Linked DNA regions of Elephas maximus indicus. The protein of the gene in region 2 interacts with the protein of the main gene of each other region in a pairwise test. Links are inferred from orthologs where the notes say so. Each region holds a gene or a part of one and is shown on either strand. Other genes may lie near its edges.

What was found.
Region 1: the proteins of PITX1 (region 2) and DVL3 interact in binary tests that used the Homo sapiens proteins (3 or more experiments, as listed by UniProt). The two-hybrid records come from large-scale screens. The link is inferred for Elephas maximus indicus from reciprocal best matches to the Homo sapiens genes PITX1 and DVL3.
Region 3: the proteins of PITX1 (region 2) and IPO13 interact in binary tests that used the Homo sapiens proteins (3 or more experiments, as listed by UniProt). The link is inferred for Elephas maximus indicus from reciprocal best matches to the Homo sapiens genes PITX1 and IPO13.

The regions. Positions count from the first base shown.
Region 1 is NC_064819.1:30,911,062-30,918,560, reverse strand, and holds the start of DVL3 (segment polarity protein dishevelled homolog DVL-3), read left to right. Parts: upstream 1-4,482; 5' UTR 4,483-4,649; coding exon 4,650-4,810; intron 4,811-7,499. UniProt on the Homo sapiens protein: Involved in the signal transduction pathway mediated by multiple Wnt genes.
Region 2 is NC_064820.1:147,512,433-147,520,445, reverse strand, and holds the start of PITX1 (pituitary homeobox 1), read left to right. Parts: upstream 1-4,963; 5' UTR 4,964-5,151; intron 5,152-5,217; exon of another isoform or gene 5,218-5,428; intron 5,429-5,631; 5' UTR 5,632-5,755; intron 5,756-5,763; exon of another isoform or gene 5,764-6,123; 5' UTR 6,124-6,261; intron 6,262-8,013. UniProt on the Homo sapiens protein: Sequence-specific transcription factor that binds gene promoters and activates their transcription. May play a role in the development of anterior structures, and in particular, the brain and facies and in specifying the identity or structure of hindlimb.
Region 3 is NC_064821.1:86,204,942-86,212,857, reverse strand, and holds the start of IPO13 (importin-13), read right to left. Parts: upstream 3,035-7,916; 5' UTR 2,358-3,034; coding exon 2,274-2,357; intron 560-2,273; coding exon 1-559. UniProt on the Homo sapiens protein: Functions in nuclear protein import as nuclear transport receptor. Serves as receptor for nuclear localization signals (NLS) in cargo substrates.

The DNA.
Region 1 (7,499 bases), on a different chromosome or scaffold from region 2:
TGAATGAAAGGCTCCAGAAAAAATGGAACTGGGGGATTACCTAATAGATGCGAATGAGTGAATGAAATGTGTATCCAGAAGCTATTGAATTTTGGTGGGAAGAATTAACAATAGGTTGTTAGTGACCATCAGATTATGACTCATGGTGACCCCACGTGGTACAGAGTAGAACTGTTTCATAGGGTTTTCTTGGCTGTTATCAGAAATAGATCACCAGGCCCATCTTCTGCAGTAGCCCTGGATGGGTTCAGAACACCAACTTTTAGGTTAGAAGTTGAGTACAAACTATTTGTGCCACCTGGAGACTATTAAAGTATATAAAAAGCAAAAACAAAAAAAAAAAGACAAAGCATTGTTGTGGAGTCGATTCAGACTCATAGCGACCCTAGAGGACAGAATAGAGCTGTCACGTAGGGTTTCCAAGGAGCAGCTGGTGTATTTGAACTGCCGGCTTTTTGGTTAGCAGCTCAGCTCTTAAAAGCAAATGAAAAAGCAAGGCTGTCTTAGTCATTTAGTGCTGCCATAACAGAAATACCACAGGTGGATGGCTTTAACAAAGAGAAGTTTATTTTCTCACAGTGAAGTAGGCTAAAAGCCCAAATTCAGGGTGTCAACTCCAGGGGAAGGCTTTCTCTGTCAGCCTTATTGATCTTCCCCCAGACTAGGAGCTTCTCTGTGTGGAGACCCCAGGTCCAAAGGACGCGCTCTGCTCCTGGCACAGCTTTCTTGGTGGTATGAGGTTCTAACTCTGCTTGCTTCCCTTTCCTTTTTATCTCTTGTAAGATAAAAGGTGGTGCAGGCCATACCCAAGAGAACTCCCTGTACGCCTGGGTAAGGGTGTTACAATCTCACCCTAATCCTGTTTGACATAAAGGTATAATCACAAAATGGAGGACAACCACACAATGCTGGAAATCATGACGCAGCCAAATTGATACACTTTTTGGGGAACATAATTCAGTCCATAACAAAAGCAATGATTAATGCCAGGAAAACCAAAAAGTAATAAAGGGAAGGAAGCAATCCTTGAACACACATGGCTTTGCAGTGAACATTTATTCATTCATAGCCAAAATAATCTCCCTGATGTTGTGTGCCGTCAAATGGATTCCAATTCATAGCAATGCTATAGGACAGAGTAGAACTTCCCCATAGGATTTCCAAGGCTGTAAATCTTTATGGAAGCAGACTGCCACATCTTTTCTCCTGCAGAGAGGCTGGTGAGTGAACTGCCAGCCTTTTGGGTAGCAGCCCAGTGCTTAACCACTGTACCACCAGGGCTCCATATAATGTCACTACTAAGTACTGGTTCTTTAGACATATTGTCAGGAGAGACCAGCCCCTGGAGAAGGACGTCATGCTTGGTCAAGTAGAGGGCCAGTGAAAAAGAGGAAGACCCTCAACGAGATGGATTGACACAGTGGCTGCAACAATGGGCTCAAGCATAACGATCTTGAGGGTGGCGCAGGACCAGGCAATGTTTCATTCTGTTGTACCTAGGGTCGCTATGAGTTAGGACCAATTCAACGGCACCTAACAACAAGTACTAGAACCAACAAAGTGTGATTTCACTATATTAAGAGGATGGGGGAGGTGGAAGAAAGAAAGAAATAATTTGGAAATCCATAGGCAACGTAGAGAATACATAAATCAAGAACTAGTGAGCTTAAAAAATAGTGACTATTCTGGAGATCACTTTAATAGTGACTATTCTGGGGGGTCGGAGCCCTGGTGGTTCAGTGGTTAACTGCTAACCAAAAGGTCAGCAGTTCAAATCCACCAGCTGCTCCTTGGAAACCCTATGGGGCAGTTCTACTCTGTCCTGTAGGGTCGCTGTGAGTTGGAATCGACTCAACGGCAATGGGTTTGGCTTTTTTGGTTTGTTCCAGGGGTGGGAAGAGGAATGAGACAGGGAGTCTTTTAATTGTTGTTAAAAGCTTCCCGCATACTATTTGCGTATACACACACAGTACCTTGATAAATATTTAAAATTAAACTAAAAGAAGTAAAGGGAAAGGTACAAACTGGAAATACCAGGTGTGCACAGAGTCTAGCAAGAAGGTTGATTTGGAGTTAAAAATTTGGCCAGGATATTAAAAAATTGCTGTCAAGTCGATTCGGGCTCATAGCATCCACAGAGGACAGAGTAGAACTGCCCCATAGGGTTCCCAAGGAGCCGCTGGTGGATTTGAACTGCCAACCTTTTGGTTAGCAGCTGAGCTGTTAACCACTGAGCTACCAGGGCCAGGATATAGTGAGACAAAAGGTTATAAAAGCAGAAGTGAGATTATGGAGAGCCTTGAACATCCTGCTAAGTATATTTGGGAGGCATTGGGGAATGTGGGAAGGTTTCTTAGAACAAAGTCCCTGGGCGGTGCAAACAGTTCGTGCTTGTGTACTAACCAACAGGTTGGCAGTTGCTTACCCAGCAGCCCTGCAGAAGAATGATTACAGCCAAGAAAGCCCTGTGGAACAGTTTTACTTGGTAACACATGAGTCGCCATGAGTTGGATTGACTAGATGGCAATAGGTTTGGTTTGCTTCTCTCAGAAGAGGTGTCTAAAAGAGATACTCTTCAAATGCAGAGGGGCAACAGTACACAAATGGAGTGAGAAGAGTCCGCACTTGTTACAAGAAAAAAAAACAAAGGCATTGCCCACAGCTGATTCCAACTTACAGCAATCCTATAGGACAGAGTAGAACTGCCCCTAGAGTTTCCAAGGAGTGCCTGGTGGATTCAAACTTCAGACCTTTTGGTTAGACACCATAGCACTTAACCACTACACCACCAGGATTTCCCCACGCTTGTTACTGTGGCCTAAAAGGCCCTATGTGATCTGGCCCTTTCCTACCTTTTCAGCCTCATCGTACCACTGTCCATCTAGTCACGATAGCTGTCCTCCTATTCTTCAAATTTGGAAGTACAATCAGAATGCTCCTTAGAAGTGAGGATGGCAAGATAGTTGCTTACTTTGGATATGTTATCAGAAGTGACCAATCCCTGGAGGACATCATGCTTGGTAAAGGAGAGGGTCATCAAGAGAGGAAGACTCTCAGTGAGATAGATTGGCACAGACCTGCAACAGTGGGCTCAAGCGTAACAACGATTGTGAGGACGGGGCAGTGTTTCATTCTGTCATATATAGGGTCGCTATGAGTCGGAACGCACTCGACAGCACCTGACAACATTCCTGCTTTGAGTCTTTATACTCACTCTGCCCTCTGCCTGGAATACCCTTCCCTTAAATCTTCTCGTATCTGGTTCCTCCTCATCAGTTAGGTCTTAGTTCAAATGGAAGATGTCTTCCTTGACAAACTCATCTTTCCTCTGTCTCTATCACATTACTCCATTTTATCTTCTTAGTAGAGTTTATCACTCTCTGGCTTATTTGGAAACCCTGGTGGTGCAGTGGTTAGGCTACAGCTGCTAACCAAAAGGCCAGCAGTTCGAATCCAGCAGGCGCTCCTTGAAAACTCTATGGGGCAGTTCTTCTCTGTCCTTCAGGGTTGCTATGAGTTGGAATCGATTCAACGGCAGTCAGTCTGTTTTTTTGTTTTTTGAAGTTTATCTATTTACAAGCCTATGTGCCTCCTAGATGAGTGAAGGTTTTGAGGGCAGCCTTACCTGTCTTTCTACTTCTATATCTCAGGCATGGCACCATGCCTAGCACATAGTAGGTACTCAGTATTTATTAAATTAATTAAAAACTAAGGAGTGAGGAAATCTGTCAGGGCACCATCATACCTAGTTCTAGGAGTCCTTGGGTGGTGCAAACGATTAAGCACTGGACTGCTAGCCAAATGGTTGCCGGTTTGAACTCACCCAGAGGCACCTGGGAAGACAGGTCTGGTGATCTGCTTCCAAAAGGTCACAGCCTTGAAAACCCTATGGAGCACAGATCTACTGTGACACACATGGGGTTGCCATGAGTCAGAACTGACTCTGCGGCAGGGAACAACATACCAAGTTCTAGTTTGAGACTCCCTGTCCCAGACAGGCACGCATACCTTCACTTGCCTTTCAGCCCATTTAGTGAACCATTGCTATGCACCTGACCCTGGCTGGGCTCTGGGGCTGTAAGGCGGATTCAGAGCTCGACCCTGCCCTGCCCTCAAGGAGTCCTGTTTGGTGGGCTCTTTTTTTTTTTTTTATGACCGCAGCTGTACTTCTCACCCTAAAGTGCCATACCGAGGTCCCTTGCTTCCAGCGATCCGTGCTTAGAACCACTTCCCACTCTCCCCAAATCTGGGGACCGAAGAGACCCTGCTTCCCTTCCTCCCCGCCTGCAGAGGAGGTCTTCGGTCCAGGGCCAGGGCCTCGGAGGGCCCAGGAGTGCGGCCGTCCTGGTCAGGGCTCCCCTCCAGGTCTGGGCCCCAGGCACCGCGCCTGCTCCCCGCCGAGCGGGGGCCGGAGCCGTGCGCGCCAGGGCCCGGCTTTGCGCGCATCCAGCGCTCGGCGGCCCGCGGGGCGGGGCGCGGCCCGACCCGAGGCCGCGGCACCGGAAGAGTCGCGCCGCCAGGCGGGCCGGAGCGCGGAGCGGAAGCTTGGCGGGCGGCGCTGGGACCCGGGGGAGGCCGCAGAACAAGGAGCTGGGCTGAGCCGCGCCGACTGCCCCGAGGCCCGGCCCGGCGCCCGGGAGGCCGGAGCCATGGGCGAGACCAAGATCATCTACCACCTGGATGGGCAGGAGACGCCGTACCTGGTGAAGCTGCCGCTGCCCGCCGAGCGCGTCACCCTGGCCGACTTCAAGGGCGTGCTGCAGCGACCCAGCTACAAGTTCTTCTTCAAGTCGATGGACGACGATTTCGGGTGAGGGGCCCCCGCCCGCACCGCGGACCCCGCCGCCTGCTTTGGGGGCCACCCGGCCCGCTCGAGCCCCCCCGGCTGTCTGGGGGAGCTGGGGTTCCAGCCCCGCGAGGGACCGCCCGCTCGCCTCTGGTGGGGGACCTTGGCCCCTTGGGGCACCCAGCTTAGGGGAACGTCCAACTCCCCAAAAGCATTCGGCTCCTGGCCCGCCAGCCCCTCACCAACTCGATGGCCCACGTAGACGACACACAACCCCTCCCCCCAGGTCCGGCCCTCCCCCGCCAGGGGAGCCACCTCTTCAGCGCAGACTTGGGGTGTCTGGCACCCAGCCTAGCGCTTCTCCATCTTTTCAGCTGCACGACTCAGGGCCATATTTGGAGCACCCCGCATCTCGGGGCTACGCCGGGGGGACTGCGGACTGGGGGGAGGGAGGTGGCCGGGTGCTGGGGCCCTGCAGACCTTGTGTTTGTTTAGCTGTCGCCCCCTCCCTTGTGGTGTGTCTAGGATGTTGTCAAGGGAGCGAGGCGAACGCCTGGCCCCTGAGGAGGAGTCCAAAATATCCCAGGTGCTTGCTCCCCTCAGTATTGAGGCCTTTTCCTCCAGGTGGTGGCCAAGGGGGAGGCCTTGGAAAGGGCCTCAGAGCCTGAGAGCCAGGAAGAGCCTCTTGGTGTTCTCCATTTTCCCCTCGCTGGCGGGGTCTTCCCCTCCACCCAGCTGCAAGGCTGTGGACAGGCAGAGTTTGGAAGCTGCCACTTCCCCTTTAAGAAGGGATGGAATGTTGGAGCCGGAAGGTTCTGTAGCAGCTGGCCTGGGAAGGGGAGCCTAGCCCATCTCCTCACCGCCCCCCCAGCCCCCCCCAACTCCCAATTCCCGGGGGACTGGAGGAGGGGAAGGCCCCCACACCAGCCTGCATCCAGGAGCTGGGTGCTGGCCTAGAGGCCCCTGGGGAGGCCTCACAGGGTCCTTGAGGCCTGCAGCCATCTCTCCAGCCTCTGCCTGGGGCCTGCACTGCCCTTTGGGGCAGAGTGAGGAGAGACAGTCTTCTCCCATGTGTCCATCAGTCTGGCCGCTCTCCCAGGACCCTGGCCCTCCTGGGTCAAGAAGCAAGCACCTTCTGTCTTCTCCTTGGCATGCTTGGCTGTCGCTTTCCACCCTGGGACTCTGGGTTTGAGGAGCCTGTGAGATGTGTGTGTGTGATCATGTATGTGAGATTTTGTGATCATATGTATAATCCTGTGTGTGTGTGTGAGAGAGAGAGAGAGTGCTTGGTACAGTGGGAAGTGCTTTGTGGAGTCCAACTATCCTGTTGTCTGTTGTCTTTGCTCCTACCCTGGGGCAGGGTACTCCTGGTGCCATGATGATTATCTGGTTTCAGCCCAGAGACAGACACCTCTGATTGGAAGATTCTGAACAGGGATCGATCTGGAAGGGGCAGGGGCAAGGGGGCGGGCGGCCTGACCTAGTTGGAGAAGAATAGGGTCAGAGAACACCAAGATACTTCCTGGGAATATAAGATGTGGAAAAACAGTTACAGTCCAGTGGGCTGGGGCCACCCTGGGGCCAGGTGCACTGAGGGGCTAGGATAGACTTGTGTTCCCACCCCGCACTCACCCCTGGGCCCACTCGGCCTAGCCCCATCTCCTAAGCCTAGACCTCTCTGGGCTGCCTCCTGGCCGGGCCTAACTGCAGTCATAGAAGGATCCTCATTACATCCACTTAACCAAAACCTGTTGCTGTCAAGTCAATTCCGACTCATAGCGACCCTATATTTACTGTTTACTGAATGTTTTCCTTTAACTCCACTGTCAGTCAGCTGCTTTTTTTCTTAGCTTGACCTAACCAGTAATATGAAATCATGGGTCTGACTTTCTATTTATTTTTTTCTAAAATATGTTCAAATAAATACATGTAACTATTAAACTAAGCAACATTCATTCAGGTACCATTTAAAGCCATCTTGCTTACATTAGTGGTACTGACACCACTCTTTTCAAGATATCAGAATAGGTCACTTTAGCAGAGCTGAGAACAATGCTACAAAGGAAGCGGAGGAGACTGATTTCGCTCTTACCCCGCTCCTCCCCAGGAGGCTAAGTGAGCAGAAGGCATGGTAGCGCTCACTTGTCACAGAGGACTCCAGCGTGCCAGACACTGATGTCAATGCTTTTTGAACCTTCACTGAGATCCCACTTTACAGACAAGGAAACTAGGGCACAGAAAGATTAACTTGTCCAGGGTCACACCGCTAGTACATGGCAGCAGAGCTTGATTTGATGTTAGGGATCTGGCTCCAAAGTCTGTAGCCTTAACTGCACAACTGTAGGTATTATTGTTGTTGTTAGGTGCTGTCAAGTCGGTTCCGACTCATAGCAACCCCTATGCACAGCAGAGCGAAACAGTGCCTGGTCCCGCGCCATCCTCACAGTCATTGCTATGCTTGAACCCATTGTTGCAGCCACTGTGTTGATCCATCTCGTTGAGGGTCTTCCTCTTTTTCACTGACCCTCTACTTTACCAAGCATGATGTCTTCCTCCAGGGACTGACCCCTCCTGATAACATGCCCAAAGTATGTGAGACGTATCCTTACCATACTTGCTTCTAAGGAGCATTCTGGTTGTACTTCTTCCACGTAGGTGTTACTACTACCCGCATTTTATAGACGCTTTCTCTCCAAGGGAGATGTTAAGGCCT
Region 2 (8,013 bases):
CCATCTCAGAGCCTCAGTCCAATAAGCAGAGACCTGAGTTGGGCATGTAGGGTCCCTGACCAAGACCCCAGGGCACCTCACCTACTAGAAGTGCCTGCCAGTTCAGCACACACCCTCTCAGCAGTAATATTTATTTGGGATTTGCAGGGAAGGGAAAAACGCAAAGTATTTCTAAGCATTCTTTGCTTGCAGAAGAGAAGGGGCCATGAAAGCCCTGGGCATCTGGCAAGAACTCCCAGAGTGGCACTGGGCTGCCCCCAAAACCTCCCATAGGCTGCTCATGAGGAGCTGATATGCCTGTGGCTGAGGGCAGCCCTGCACGTATGGTCCTCCCTAATCTCACAGCAGCCCTGAGAGCCAGGAGCTCTTAGCATCTCCCACTGAATGGCTGAGAAAGCCAAGGCTCATGATGCTAAGGGAGCAGAGCTGGCATTCACACCCAGTCTGACTCCAGACGAGCCTTGAGTGCTGAGGAGAATCCGGGCCAGATGAACATCTCAAGCTCTATGGAACTCAGGCCAGGAAGTGAGGCTGAAGCGCAGAGGCGCACAACTTGAAATGAGGCCGATCTCCAAACTAGCCTCACAGCCCTGCACAAAAACACACTCCTATCTCCCTGCAGAGAGTCAGCCCAAAGACCGCAGAACAAATGGCAATCACTCCAAAGCATCAGCCCTATTTACATCCAGGTTCCCCAGCTGAGGGGAAGCAGCCTCACAACACCAAGGAAACATGAATATTTCATGGGTAGATCCCTCCTGGCCTCCAATCTTGTTTTCAATTGTCATGAAACAATTCAGAATTTCCAACTCAGGACTAATGGGCTCCCGTCAGCCAGTCAGCCAGCGCAGGCAGGGGTAATTATTTTAAAAGCTTCCGACCAAGTTGTTCACTGTGCTGGCTCCCCAAATCATCTGTCTGCAGTAGTGGCTGTGCCCCTTCAGGCCCCGCACACCCTGTCTCCCCATACAGAAAGCAGACAGCAGGGGGGGCTGTGAAGCACTGGCCACAAGAGCCTGTGAGGATGGTAGAGACAGGCCAAGCCTACAGATGGGTAAACTAAGGCCCTCCAGAAACTCAGAGACCATAACTTCTCACTCTCATATTTCCTCTGCCAAGCTGTGGCCAACTGTGCTCATGGCGCATGGATGGACAAACAGATGGATGTAGTGGCTGAGTGAATGATGTTACAATAGCCTGCTCCCACCTCACCCCCTGGAATCCATCCTACACTCTCCAGGCTGAGTGATCTTTCTGAAATATTAATCTAACCAACCGTCTCCCTTCTTAAACCCTTCATCTACGTCTCTTCGTCTTCAGAATAATACCCCACTATACTACAATACTACAAAGCTTCATGAAGCCCCACAGTATCCGGCTCCTATTTAATTCTCCAACCTCCTCTTCCCCCATTCTCTGCCTTCTCACCTGCCCTCAATGCTATTCTGTAGCCACACTGCCCTTCTTTCAAATTCTCAGGTATACCACAATTCTCTCACCTCTGGGCCTTTGTTCGTACTGTTTTCCCAGGGAGTGGAGAGGGGCGGGGTGGAAATACTGTTCCAAACAAACTCTGTAGTATGTCATTCAAGACCCTTCAACAGCGGGCTGCAGATTTCGTCTCCAGCATTTGTGCTCCAAATATGGTTATGGGTTTGTACGTCTGCCTCCTCAGCTCAACCCACATGAGCAGAAGCCATCCATCTCTGCATCTCTGTGATCATGGGCATGAAGTGTGTGCTTTCTAAACCTTTGCTGACCTGAGAGAGGCCAGTCCAAGAGGGTCCCAGACCAGAGTTCTTCCCACTGTTCCTTACAGATGCTGACAGGTCTGCAATGAAAAAAAAAAAAAAGTACTTGAGATGCTCAAAAGGTTTCTCTTTTTGCTTTGGCTCCCAGGAGCCTCAGAGTGCACTATAATCAATGTTCAAGTACATCAACATCTTGCCTGATCCTAGGAGGTCTTCTCCACTTTCAGATTCTCCAACTCCCTCCTTCTCAAGGATGAGCAAGGGACCACAAATGGATACCCTCCCTTGCTTTGTGGGTCCATCTCTATATGGAATCAGCAGACTCTGAGCCTCCCCTCAGGCTTTCTGGTGGCACTCTCACCTCTTTGCCACAGATGAGTGCCAGAACAGTCCTGTTGGACTTCAGACTCTCCCAAGAGAACCAGTGCCTCCCCATCACATTAGGGTGGACTCTTACCCACTCCACCACCAGGCCCTTGAGAACCTTCACAGGGCAGGGGCTTCTTTGAAGACTAACACCTTCCCTGCCACAATTCTAACTCTGAGAGCTTGCTAAGGGACAGCAGCTAAGATTCTTGGGGGAATGTAGTGAGTATTCCTTTTGGTAGGGAGTAATCCTTCTAGGGTGGAGCCTGTGACCCTGGCCTGGCCAACCACACCCCTAAACCACTCTTCTCCACAAAGAGATTGGTTTAGGAGTGGGCATGTGAGCTGTACCCAGCCAATCAGCATAATCGAATCCCTTGACCATGCTAGCAAGGGTCCTGTAGTGAACAAGAGAGGCTCAGCTCTGCTCTCAAGGAGCTTACAAATGGTAAGGGCAACAGATTTTAACCAATCATTACACAAATAATTATTTCAATACTATTGCAATAAGACCCATGAAGGAAAAGGTCACTGTCATGGATGGAATTGTGTCCTCCAAAAATATCTGTCAACTTGGCTAGGTCATGATTCCCAGTATTGTATGATTGTCTACCATTTTGTCATCTGACATGATTTTCCTACGTGTTGTAAATCTTATCACTATAATGTAATGAGATGGATTAGTGGCAGTTACATTGATGAGATCTACAAGATTAGATGATGTCTTAAGCCAATCTCTTTTGAGATATAAAAGAGAGAAGCAAGCAGAGAGACATGGGGACCTCGTACCACCAGGAAAGCAGAGCCAGGAGCAGAGCATATCCTTTGGACCCAGGGTCCCTGCACTGAGAAGCTCCTCGACCAGGGAAAGACTGATGACAAGGACCTTCCTCCAGAGCCGACAGAGAGACAAGGCCTTCCCCTGGAGCTGACACCCTGAATTTGGAGTTGTAGCCTGCTCAATTGTGAGAGAATAAATTTCTCTTTGTTAAAGCCATCCACTTGTGGTATTTCTGTTATGGCAGCATTAGATAACTAAGACAGACACTCTCCCTACTTTTACTGGATATTAAGAAACACTGCAAAACTGTGACTGAAGCCATTTGCCCATTATGCTATTCAGATGTGACAAATCCAACTTGGAGTTTTGTACTATGGAGAAAAACTTCTTCTGACTAAAGGAAGCATGCCATTTTGGAAGAAGAGACAAAACAACTGTGTCAACCAATCTTGTTGCACTTTTCACTTAGGTACTAGGAAGCTCAAAGCTAAAGTGACACTTAGATACAGGGACTGTGTTACTTCTGTTCCTAGTGGACCCTGCCCCGCTCTTCCTCTCTTTGATTTCCAATCCATCTGCCTTGACAGTGGAAATATATGTGCCTCAAGATGTCAAAAGCTAAAGGGAAATTGTGGAAAATTCTTTTTGGAAGAGGGGAAAATGAAATCATACAAAGCCTGTTTTGACCTTCCAAGAACTTCCAGGTTGTCAGGCTCTGGCCCCACCCAGTCTGCCCAGCCTGGAGGGAATAAGGAGCAGCTCTGCTAAATCAGAGAGGTGTTCTGCTCCTGCCTGACTCAACCAATGTGACCATGCTGGGGAAAACCCAACAAACCCACTGCCATCGAGACCCTATAGGACAGAGTGGAACTGCCCCCATAGGGTTTCCAAGGCTATAAATCTTTATGGAAGCAGACAGCCACATCTTTCTCCCATGGGTTCATACTGCTGACCTTTCCGTTAGCAGCCAAAGGCTTTAACCACTGGCTACCAGGGCTCGTCACTGGTGAAAGAGGGAAACAAAAATTAGAGCAAACTTTTAAAGAACAAAGTGACCTGACGGGTGTTACCTTTAGCATTCAACTCCACAAAACATAGTGCTAAGCCCTTCACTTGCTTTGTCTCATCGATTCCTCAACTGCCTTGTAAAGTCGATACTCTTACTCTCCTGTTTCACAGACAGATAAGTTGAGGCTGGAAGAGGTTATGTGACTTGCCCAAAGCCAAACAGCTAGTATAAGGCACAGACAAGACTCCAGCACAGGCCATTAGCAGTGTCTTGGTGCCACAGGCCCTAGCTGAGAACAAGAACATAGCAGAGAATGATGACACCACCACCCCGTCACCCACTGGGAACAAAACCCCTGAAAATCGCTGGTGTACAGGGGTGGAAGGGTGAGACACCTAAATGAAACCACCCCAGCCAGGTGCCTGTCTCTCGGCCTTCACAATAAGGGTCCTGCGGTTGCATTTATGCCCAAAGGTGTCTGGGCGCTTGGGGTGGGGGGTAAGGCTGCCAGGGACAAGGCCCACAGGGCCAGGCCTGCCAACAGGCCATTTTCACACATAAAACGCACAACTAGCGGTGGGGAGAGAGGCGTGGGATTGCAATCCCGGGCAGCGCAAGGTCCAAGCCACAAGATTGCGTTTCCCCAAGTAGGCCTCTAGGTCCAGGTCTGAAAGCGCCGGCGTCCAAGGCGCGTCTTTTAGCCCTTATGACCCCGTGCGCACTGATCCCCACACACCCCTGGAGAAGGGTTCCGGCTTTTAAGGATTGAGAGGAGGTCGCGGAGTCCCGGAAAAGCAGGACAGGGTGCAAGGGCCACCCCGCAGGGCCTGAATGCCCTGGCCTCTGGGAGCTTGCGTCGGGCTGGCTTCCGGCCTTGAGGGTAGGGCGGGGGTCTCGGCTCTGCGCTTTCCGAGGCTAGGCGGCCCTGGAGGCGCGGCGGAGCAGGGCGCCAGGTCGGGCGTCGGGGCTGCAGCCTCACCAGCACCAGCTGTCAGCGAGAACCAGGGAGGGAGGCGCCGCCGATGATGGCATCTCGTGCAACATTGACGCCGGCCGCCGCGCTGCCATCTCCCGGCACCTAGCGCCGAAGCGGCCATCCCAGAGCCCTGGGGTGTCGGCGGGCAGGCTCGGCCGCTCTTGTCCCGCAGTCTGGGCCTGGATAAACAGTCACAGCCGAACTCGTCCCATCCCACCATTCCAGAAGCCGGAGGCTCAGACTGAGAGCTTGGGGAAAGCCGGAGCAGGTTCTGCCAATGGGTCTCCCCCTTGAGGTTTCACTTGCGGGGTTATCTGGCCACTAGGCAACGCTGGGGAATCCGGAGGCCTACGGGTGAGAGAGGGGCAGGCCCCCAGGTCCCCTCAGTCCTTCCAGTCTCCCAATGGCTGCCAGCCAGGAACCGACCTGAGGGACCACATGGGCAGAGGCCTCCCACGTGCGCCGTCCGGGAGAAAGGCGGCCGCTGGAGGGTGTGCAAGGGAAGGGACCAGACAAGGAGTCGCAGAGGCGTCTGTCCTCGTGAGGTTGGCCTCCCCTTTATTCCCCAGACGAGTCTCTGAAGAGGGAGAAGGGGAAATTCCCCAAGCAGGGCCGGTCGGGCGATTGCCCCTCCCGAGCACCCCCTTACATAGAGAAACCTTGGGGTCTGACCTCAAACCTCCGTGGCTGCCAAAATCTGCACAGCTGATTCTCTCTGCCAACATGCAAACCCGGCTCCCTCCCGCAGGCTGAGCAGGAAAAGGAAAGGATTGACTCTCATAACCCCAGCTTGACCATCACCTGGCAGGCCCCCGGGAAACTCCGATCAGACCCGGACTAAACGGAAGCCGGCCCGTCCCCTAACGTGCCAGGTGGGTAACTGAGCCCAGCAAGAGTAAAGTGTCTGGGCTAGGGTGGGACCCCAGCAGCTTCAACCGCAGACGGCTGGAGCCCCTCCCACGCACCAGCCGTCCCGGGGCGCGCTTCCCGGCCTAGGGCCTCTGCGGAGAGCCGTGAGACCCCAGCCTGCTTCCCGAGGGAGGACAGGGCCCCTAGCCCGCTGGACTGCGCGCCGCCCCCTCCCCGCTTGCCTAGGCTAGCGCCTTGCTTCCCCTCCCCCCCTTCCCGCCTCCCCGGCCGGTGTCCCCGCCTTCCCCGCGGGCGACGGGCGGCGGCAGCCGCCGCGGCAGGAGGAGCGGGCCGAGCCGAGGCAGCCCGGACCTTACGCGCTGGGATGTAGCGACCCGGCGGGGGCCGAAGCAGCGCGCAGAGTCGGAGACTGAATTGGATCCGGGGCCCCAGCCGGAGCCGAAATCTAAATCTGAGTCGGCGGCAGGCGAGCCCGGAGCCGACGAGCCGCAGACGCAGCGCAGCCCAGGTAGGGTTAGAAACGCTGGGCTAGGGGACGCCGACGCTCCGCGGTGGAGGAGCGCAGGGAAGTGGCGGCCGAGTCCCGCGCTGTTTGCTCCGTGCGGTCCAGCCGGTGGGGCAGGACCGAGCGCAATGCGCGGAAGGCCAGGCGCCATCGGGGCAGAGCGAGGAGTTCATTCCTGAGTGGTGCGCACGGTCACAGCTGCCATCTCCGGGCGCTACCTCACCTAACTGGTGGGCCCACCCCGCGCTTCGGCCCCAGGCACCCCAAGAAGGCAGCAGCCTTGGGGGCGCAGGCCAAGGACACCCTGGACGCCCCGCGCAACTTCTAGCGGTGGCCAGGGCGCAAGGGGTCCCCAGGGAGAAAGGGACAGGCGAGAGGGCTGTCCGCTGTTCCCCGATATGCCCTGGGTTGAGGGCCCCCAGCACAGGCGGATGCGCAGGCCCCTCTCCATGGCCCGGGACTTCGGCCGTAGCTTCGCGTCAAGAGGGTATTTGTCCTAAACGAAACCGCTTCGCTCGTTTGTTCGTTCGAGCAGCAATATGGCAGAAAAGCAGCAGACATCGGCCGGAGCCCCGGAGCCTCGGGTCCCTTCGATCGCCAACCCCGACGTCCGCCGCAGCGCTGGGAGGCACCCCCAGCCCAGGGCGGCCTGCCCCGCGCGCAGAGCTGCCCTCTCCCATACGGGTTGGGCCTCACCTTCCCCTTACAGAAACCCTAAATGCTTTTAGTAAAGTCCAATAAAGACATTCCCACGGCTTCTCCCGGTTCTGGTTGCTGACGGAGGATTCCCCAGCACACAGCTTCTTCTCTAGAGCCGGGTCTAGGGATTCTGAAACTGAACAGCCACGAAAGTTGGAGCCGATTCTACTGTGGCAAAGCAAGGGCTCTGAAGCCAGGTAGCAAAAATGGGAACCCCGGTCTGGAATCATGGTTCAAAGGTTTTCTGATTTGGGAATTCCCTGAATCTAAAAATATTAAATCCACTTCTCTGAAAAACTAAGGCCCCGGTATGCTGGATTTGTGGTTGCCTCCGACAGCCACCAAGGCCAGAGCAGGAAACCCCAGGTTGCTGTCCACTTGGCCGAGGATGCAGGTCTAGGGTAATGAAGAAGTCTAGGGTAATGACAAAGGCTGTGGGCACCAGGGCAGCATAGGAGAGGGACTTGCTGTCCTCCTGCCCTTCCCCAAGACATTTTGGGACTCTCCACCTCTGCCAAAGAAAGGAAAAGTGGTGAGCTGGGGCACCGATCTGTGGCTGCTTCAACTCTAGGTGGTAGAGGCTCTATTTGTTGACCTCCGAGCCAGACTCAGAGCGCCCTTCTCCCAGAAAAGCAGCTGCTGGAAAAAGGAGGCTGTGGTGCAGCAAAACCTGACCCTCTACTCCCCAGTTATGTGGCCAGCCATGGCCACTTTCCTAGCCCTCTCTTTCGCTCAGCCACCCAACGTTTTTTGCTGGGCTCAGGAGAGCCAGGGGCCCTACCAGCCGCTGCCCTGACCGAGCAGGCTGAGCAGTCCACAGCACAGAGACCAGTTCCTCACTCCCGCTGGCGTGCCACTAGCACCGTCCAGCCGAGTGCATCCCACAGCTCCCCAACAGGACACGCTGGGGATCCCGGAATGGTAGGAATCCTTGGGCTGGGGTCCTGGGAGGCCTAAAAGACCCAGCGAGATCGTTCCCAGCCCCTGCCTGAGCACCCTCACCCAATAATTGCTTGCGTTCAAAGAAACAAGAGCTTTTATTGGGGAGGGGGTGTT
Region 3 (7,916 bases), on a different chromosome or scaffold from region 2:
GTGAGCTGGGTTGCTGTAACAGCTGCTCCAGTAATGGAAAGACAGCCCCACACTCCACCGCCAGGCTGGCCCGCACCAGCCCTTTGCGGTATTGGGGCAGGCGACTGGTCTGGAACTCCTCGGGCAGCACTGTCAGCAGCTCTAGCAGGGCCAGGCAGCGGCCCTGGCCATCCACTGGTGAGTCCTCAGCCTGGAAGAGCCGTACCATATCTGCCACAGCACATGGCCAAGCGTCAGGCATCATGCTGAGAGCCAGCGAGGCCAGTGCCACACAGAGACGAGTCAGCACAATCTTGGAGCCACTGGCAAAGTGGGTGATCTGGGTAAAGAGCTGTGCCTTTAGGCTTTCGTACTGGTCAGTGGGGATGTCACTCCAGTAGCGAGAGATTTTGATGTGCAGGGCACTGGCCCCAAAGTACTGGATCTCAGGCACCTTGTCGGGCTGCAGTAGCTGCCAGCTGAAGTGCCAGGCCTGTGGGGAGACCTGGGCCTGCATCAGCCACTTCTGAGCCAGGTTCTTGTTCTCAATGTTGGGGTCATAGTAGAGCTGGTGCAGTGCCTGCAGGACAGCACAGGACTGAGCAGATGCTGGCCACTCTGGATCGTGCCAGAGCCCAGAACAGAGGGCATGATTTGGTCCTGCAAGACTGCCCCCCTCCCTGACTGGGGGGCTGGGCAGGAGGGAGAGCTCAGGGCTCGGCAGTGTTTCCTGGGCCCAGGGTCCTCTGATATCTTGAGAGCCTGAACCTTGCCCATGCTCTACCATACTCTCTTCTTGAAGCAAAACGTATGAGTTCAAAGAGGGAACCCAGGAAAGCAGGAAAAAAGGAGGCTGAGATCCCCAAAGGAGAGGCACTTGAGGTAAAGGGCAAGGTCCAGGTGGAAGGAATGGCTCCGTGGGGAAAAAGCCAAGCCTGAGAAAAGCATGGCGCAGCCTCAAGGGCTCTGACCCTCCCAGGCACAGCTGCTCCCATCAGCTCCAACAGCTCCCTTCAGCTCCCCCAGGATCATCCCTAAGTCACTCCAGATGCTGGCACCAAAGGCAGTATGAAATCTGAGCAGGACTTAGACTTTGCCAGGCAGCCCTGAAGCAGAGATATACTGGAGGGGAGAGTGAGAACACCTCTCAGAGAGCACATGTGAGGGTCCAAGTCGGTCCAGAGAAGCCTTGGCCACAGCTGCAGCCCTGGAAAACGTCTAGCCTTTAGATCTCAACTAGCAGAATCCTCAGGGCCCCAATTCCACTGGGACTTCACGCAGTAAGAAAACAGTGGCTTATCTCCCCGGTAGCACATGGAACCTTGCGCCACCATGCCAACACTGCCCAGCCCTAGGGGGTGGGAGAGTGAGGCCAAGACACTGACCCCTAAGAAGGCTCCACCCAAGTAGGCTTAGCCCTATCTATACCCCTGCCAGCCAGTTGTCTGGCTCCTCGGGATGCTGAGGCAGGCAGAGAACAGAAGCAGAAGGGATGCATTCTCACAGTTTGGCATGGCAACAGGGTTCAAGAATAAGTACTGAATATCTCCAGCCTCTGCTTCCAGCAAGGTGGCCCCAGGCATTTCCCCACTCATCCCAGGAGGCATGCATTCCTGCATTCCAAGCCCCTGGAGACAGAACCCAGAAAAGAACCAGAGAAGCAACCCCAAAAAAGGTGGACTAAGCAGGAGGGCAGCCTGGGAGGCCCATGGCAAGGGGTTATGTGGGGAGGTGAGTAGGGAAGCGTCCTGTGAAGCTGCCAGCAGGGCCAGGCCCCTCCGACATAGCACAAAGTAAAGGGGACAGCCACTCCCAAAGCACCCTTACCAAGGAAGAGCAAAAACATAACCCAGATTGTTTTAATTCCAGATTATTTTCGGAGCCCCAGGTGCAACAAAGTCAGGGTCCAGGATGGTCTAGCGCCTGTATGGTTCCTGGGAACTAAGCTGCACATTTGCTGGGTTCCTGGTTTCCTACTGCACTGCTCATGCAGTTTCCATGGAGCTGGAGCGTGGCCAGCCTGCCTTGGAGGTCTAAGCCATCAGCTCCCTGAAGCGACCATCCCAAGACCCTACAGTATCTCTCCACAGGGGACCCGTGTCTAAGGAAAGACAAAAATAGCCCATTAGGAGACTGCAAAACTGCTGTCCTGCCTGCCAAGAGAGACAGCAAAAGCCAGGTGCTCTGGGGCACCATCCCAGCAGGCATCCAGCCCAGGCCTAGGCTTGGGCTTCAATGTCAGTTCCCAGAACTTCTGCTCTGTCACTGGAGTGCCCACCCCAGGGCCCTCATACCTTCTCCACGTTCTCCACAGTGAAGTCCAAGGCTGATGCTGCTCCAGCCCCTGCAGCCCCTGGCTGCTCCTCCCGCCGCTCCATCTTTGCTCCCTCCCCAGTAGGGAGGTAGACCCTGACCTTTCTCCTGCCCCAGCCCCTTGGCTGCTGACGCCCTGCTAGACCCCAGCTTGGGTACCCAGGGAGTGGTAGGGTGACGGGGGACCCAAGGCAGGCATGGCTACGGAGGCCTTCCCACCTCGGCTGGAGGTGGGGTGCTTGCCAGAGATCAAAGGGGGTGCTTATATGAGGAGACCCCCTGAGGAGGACTCCCAGGAGAAGGCAGCCGTCTGAGTGGAGCTATTAGGCGGAGGTCCTAATGGTAGGTCACGGCTCTATCCTCAGAATCTGTGAGAGGCAGTCATGGGGGAGGTCTGTGAGGGAAACCGAGCCCCTGGCCCGTGAGGGATCACAGGGTCGTTGACCTGTACCTACAACACCCTCATCTGGGGGTGCTCTCGGGTCCTACGAGGAGGTCACGAGGGTGGGGAGATCACGGGGGAGAGAGCCTTTTGCGGGTTACGGAGAAGTCCAAGGAAGCGCGGGGGTGCAGCTTTGAGAGCTTGGGACGAAGGGTCCGTGGAGTTGAGGGTCTGTGGCAGGTCCCCTCCGCTCGGCCTGGCCCACGATCTGCTCACCGCCCAGCTCCGGCCCCTCTACCGCCGCTGCCTCCGCCCCAGTGACTGACAGGCGAGCTGGTCCAGCCGGGACGGGGCGGGGACCTTGGCAAGCGCAGGGTGCCCCGAGCGCCTGTCCCCGGCCCCGCCAACACAAGCCCCCCCCCCCCGCCTGCCTTGGCCCACCCCGACCCGGCACAGCCCGGCACGGTCCAGCGGAACTGCGCGGAAACTCATTCCGGGTCCCTGGCCCTGTCCTCGCGCCAGTCTGCGCGACCCCGAGCAGGCGACGGAGCGGCTCGCCGCCCGAGGCCCCCGCCGAGCCAAGGCCCCGCAACTGTGCACTCTGGGAAGTGTAGTCCGTGTTGCGCCGAGCCGGAGGGCGGTGCCTGGCGGCGGAGGCCGGGAGCACGTGGGCCAATATCCGCTGAGTCCCGGTCCGCCCCAGGCCTCCCGCTGACTGCCGGCACTTCCGGACAGGCAGTCGGTGGCGCTGCGGAGCAGATCCCGAAGAGGTTGTGACTCAAGGGCCCGGTGGGTGGAGGTGGGAGCTCGGGGCTGTAGGATCGAGGAACCCAGTTCACTCTGGTTGCTCCGCTCTGGGCGCAAGCGTCAGCACCACCCAGAGAAGTGAGGGGACTTGGCGCGCCTCAGGAAAAAAAAAAAAAAAGGATGTCTCGCTTGGCCACCCAGACAGCTAGCAGGAATCCACATACCATGGACAGTGCTCGGAGAATTCCCTACGGTTTTTGGAAACACCACCACTCGTCTGTGAGTTTGTCGTACTCTGGAGGCTTGCGTGTTGCTGTGATGCTGGAGGCTATGTCACCGGTATTTAAAATACCAGCAGGGTCACCCGTGGTGGACAGATTTCAGTGGAGCTTCCAGACTAAGACACACTAGGAAGAAGGGCCTGGCGACATAATTCTAAAAAAAATGGCAAGTGAAAACTTTTTGAATAGCAGTAGTACATTGTCTGAAGGAACAAATCTGTCTTGGAAGAAGCACAGCCAGAATGCTCCGTAGAAGGAAGGCCGGTGAGACTTGACTCACATACTTTGGGCATGTTATCCAGAGGGATCAGTCCCTGGAGAAGGGTATCATGCTTGGTAGGGCGTCAGCAAAAAGAGGAAGACCCTCTAGGAGATGGATTGACACAGTGGCTGCAGCATGAGCTCAAACATAGCAACAATTGTGAGGATGGGGCAGGCCTGGGCAGTGTTTGATTCTGTTGTCCTTAGGGTCGCTATGAGTTGGAGACAGAACCTAACAACAACAACTTGGAAACAACTTCTCTCTATGAGTAATTAGAATAAGAATAAAAAACCAACCCAGTGCCCTCGAGTCGATTCCGACTCATAGTGACCCTGTAGGACAGAGTAGAACTGCCCCATAGAGTTTCCAGGGAGCGCTTGGCAGATTCCAACTGCCGACCCTTTGCTTAGCAGCCTTAGCACTTAACCACTATGCCACCAGGGTTTCCAGAATAAGAATAGCTCACCTTTAACTGCTAGGAACAGTACTTTGCATATTGTAGGTCCATTTCTCTCAGCAACTCTAAGGTAGGTGTTTTCATTCAACATTTTCAGATAAGAAACAGGATTTGGGGAAGGTTAAGCAAATCTTGGAAGTCCCTGGGTGGCTCAGATGATTAAGTGAACCAAAAGGTTGGTGGTTTGAATCCACCTAAGCACCTCAGAAGAAAGGCCTGGTGATCTACTTCCAAAAAATTACAGCTGTTGGAAACCCAATGGAGCACAGGTCTACTCTGAAAAACATGGAGGCTCAATGAGTCGGAATCGACTCCATGGCAACTTTTTTTTTTTTTTTTAAGCATATTTGTCCCTAGACACATAGCTAGGGTGGCAGAGTGGGGCCTCAGATCTGGTTTGCCCCGGTCCAGAGTCCAGCAGTCCCTGTGATACTGCCTTTCACCACTCCAGTTTGTTCCTTAGTTAACTCCTGCCAGCTACCCCAGCAAGAAAAAAAAAAAAATTAAAAGGGAAAGGACCTCTGTACTGTCCTAAGGCCTGAGAAGGTGGATGAAGTCTTCCTGAGAAGGAGAAGCTTGATCTGAGCTTGAGGAATAGAGTCTGGGGAGGAGGGCCTCTCCATATGCTGGTAAGCAAAGTCCAGGGAGAAGCTAGTCATTCAACAAACCTTTATCGAGAAAGTATTGGAAGAACAGCTAGTAATTTGTGTTCTGCTTCAGGGTATATATATATGTGGGGTGAGGAGGTGGGTGGAGGTTAGTAACAGAGATGAGGTTGAAAAGACAAGTTGGAAGCAATAGACTTCTGTAGTTTTTAACCTAAATGCAATGTGAAGCCAAGATGAGTTTTAAAGTGAGCAGTGATGATTGGATTTGCATTTTAGAAAATCTGTTTGCATAATGGAGGGTGAATTGAAGGAGGAAAGAGTAGAGGCAGGGGACCTTTGGTAGGAGTAAACCAAACCCATTGCTCTTGCTTTGATTCTGGCTCTTAGCGAGCCTCTAGGACAGAGTAGAACTGCACCATCGATCTTTTGGTTAGCAGCCAAGCTCTTTACTGTGCCACCTGGAATCCTTAGGAGGAAACAGGAAGCCAGAATAAAGTGGGTGATTCCAGACCTGTGCCTGGGTGGGGGAGGATGTAAAACGCTCTGGCTCTGGTGCTGCTTTTACTGTTGGAAGTGGGGGGAGGGAAGAAAGGGATAGTTACCTTTCAGCATGGGAGTTTAAGAGCACAGATTCTGGACTTAGGCCTGGGTTAAACACCTGGCCCTGCCCCTTTCTAGCTATGACTGCTCGGCTTCTTCTGAGACTCACTTTCCTATTAAAAAAAAAAAGCATAGTAATTCCTCCAAAAAACAAAACAAAACAAAACCCGTTGTGGCATCCTACTTCCAGTAAAGGACAAATTGAGGTGATTGACGAGTAGGGCTTGGTCCAGAGGCCACAACTTGGTTAATAGGAGTTTTCTTCCTACTTCCAGTCCAGGGCTCCTTCCTCTCACCCCGGAAGTCCCCCAGCAGATAAAGAAGCTAAGCATCACCAAAGTGGTTCCTGAACATGCTTCACAAATACCACCTAAGGCAGATGGACTAAAGTAGGCCCTATTGTTGTGTGCCCTCAAGTCAATTTCGACTCATGAACTGTGTAAGGTAGAGTAGAAGCGCCCCATAGGATTTCCTAGGCTGATATCTTTACAGGAACAGATCACCAGGTCTTTTCGCCCTTGGAACAGCTGGTGGGTTAGGATCGAGGACCTTTCAGTTAGCATCTGAGCACTTCACCATTGTGCAACCAAAAAAAATCTGTTGCCACCAAGTCTATTCTGACTCATAGTGACCCTATAGGGCAGAGTAGAACTGCTCCATAGGGTTTCCAAGTATGTAATCTTTATGGGAGCAGATTGCCACATTTTTCTCCCAAGGAGCAACTGGTGGGTTTGAGCCACCAACCTTTTGGTTAGCAGCCAAGTGCTTAACCACTTCACCACCCGGGCTCCACAGCAGGCCCCTACAAAAAAAAAAAACAAAAAAAAAAACCAAACCCCTTGCCATCAAGTCAATTCTAACTCATAGCGACCCTACAGGACAGAGTAGAACTGTCCCATAGGGTTTCCGAGGAGTGGCTGGTAGATTCGAACTGCTAGCCTTTTGGTTAGCAGCCAAGCTCTTAACCACTGTGCCACCAGGGCTCCAAGTAGGCCCCAGGAAGGGCCATTTCTTGGGAATCTCTATTCAAGGGGGGCCTTTAGGAGATGACAGTGCAGGATAGCTTAGAGCCAGTTGTAGAAGGTATGAGTAGAATGTATAGGTGTTAGAGCCTATGACAGTCTGGGAAGGGCCCGCAGATTCAGGAAAGAGCATCCCAAGGAGACAGAGCCTCTGTTGGGCACCTGGTGCCACCACCAATCCATGTCCATGTCCATGTCAAACTAAGTTCTCAGTCTGAAGTTTTTCACTCTACCAAAATAGTGTGAATTTGGACTGCAAAACCTGATGGGAGCCTGCTTGTAGATGCAAGTTCTTAGGGGAGGCTTTTTTCCCATTCTACTTAGCACCAAGGTCAGATGCAGGCAGTTTTCTTTGTAGTTCCCAGGTTTTGCAGGGGAGGGTAGGTAGGAGACGGACAGCTTTATTTCTAATTCACCCTTAAACTGTGGGCATGGCCCTTTGGAGTCCTGGCTTTATGGAGAAGCTTCTGAATAGACTTCCACTGTGAGTGAACTCTGGACTTTTGTCTTCTTTCCCATAAACTCAGGGAGCCTTCCTGGGTAAAGAAAATGTCCTCAAGGTGAAAGCCAGCTTCAGAGCTTTGCTTATCTTTCTAGTGTCCTGTTTTCACTTATTTTTTGACCTGAGAGTTTCTTATATTCTTGGATGCATTTAATTTTGATATATATATATATATTGTTTGTTTTTTGACCACTCTTTTGTGGTTTCCTTCAGGGACTTGTCCCCCTTTCTCTTCCTAGCCCTTAAATGTTGATTCTTCAGGGCCTTAGCCTGTGGTTCTCTTCCTATTCCTCCATATCTCACCACTCCTGGGCTTCGAGCTGTGCCTTTCAGATCTCTCTAAACCAGACTGTCCTGAGTTCCAGACTCTTACATCCAGCTGCCTCCTTGCCTCCCTGCCTTCTTGAACATGTATAAAACTGAACTCAGGACCTTCTTACACGTTATCTCAATCACATGCTAAAGATACTACTTCCCCTGTGTTCTTCGCCAGTCACCAAGCCAGACACCTGGAAACCCTCCCTTTCCTCAAGCCCCTACCACCAGCTGGTCACAGGTCCTGCTTACTGTGCCTCACCTCTTGCCTGTCCTTCCATACTGCTCTATCCTAGATCAAGACACCAGCATGTCTTGCCTGAATTATTGCAAAAGCTCTAACTGGCCTCTCTTGCCGCCTGTCTTGGCCCTTCCACTCCATACTAGGCACAACAGCCAGAGTGATCCATCTAAAACACATTTCTAATCAATCATATTACTCCCACCA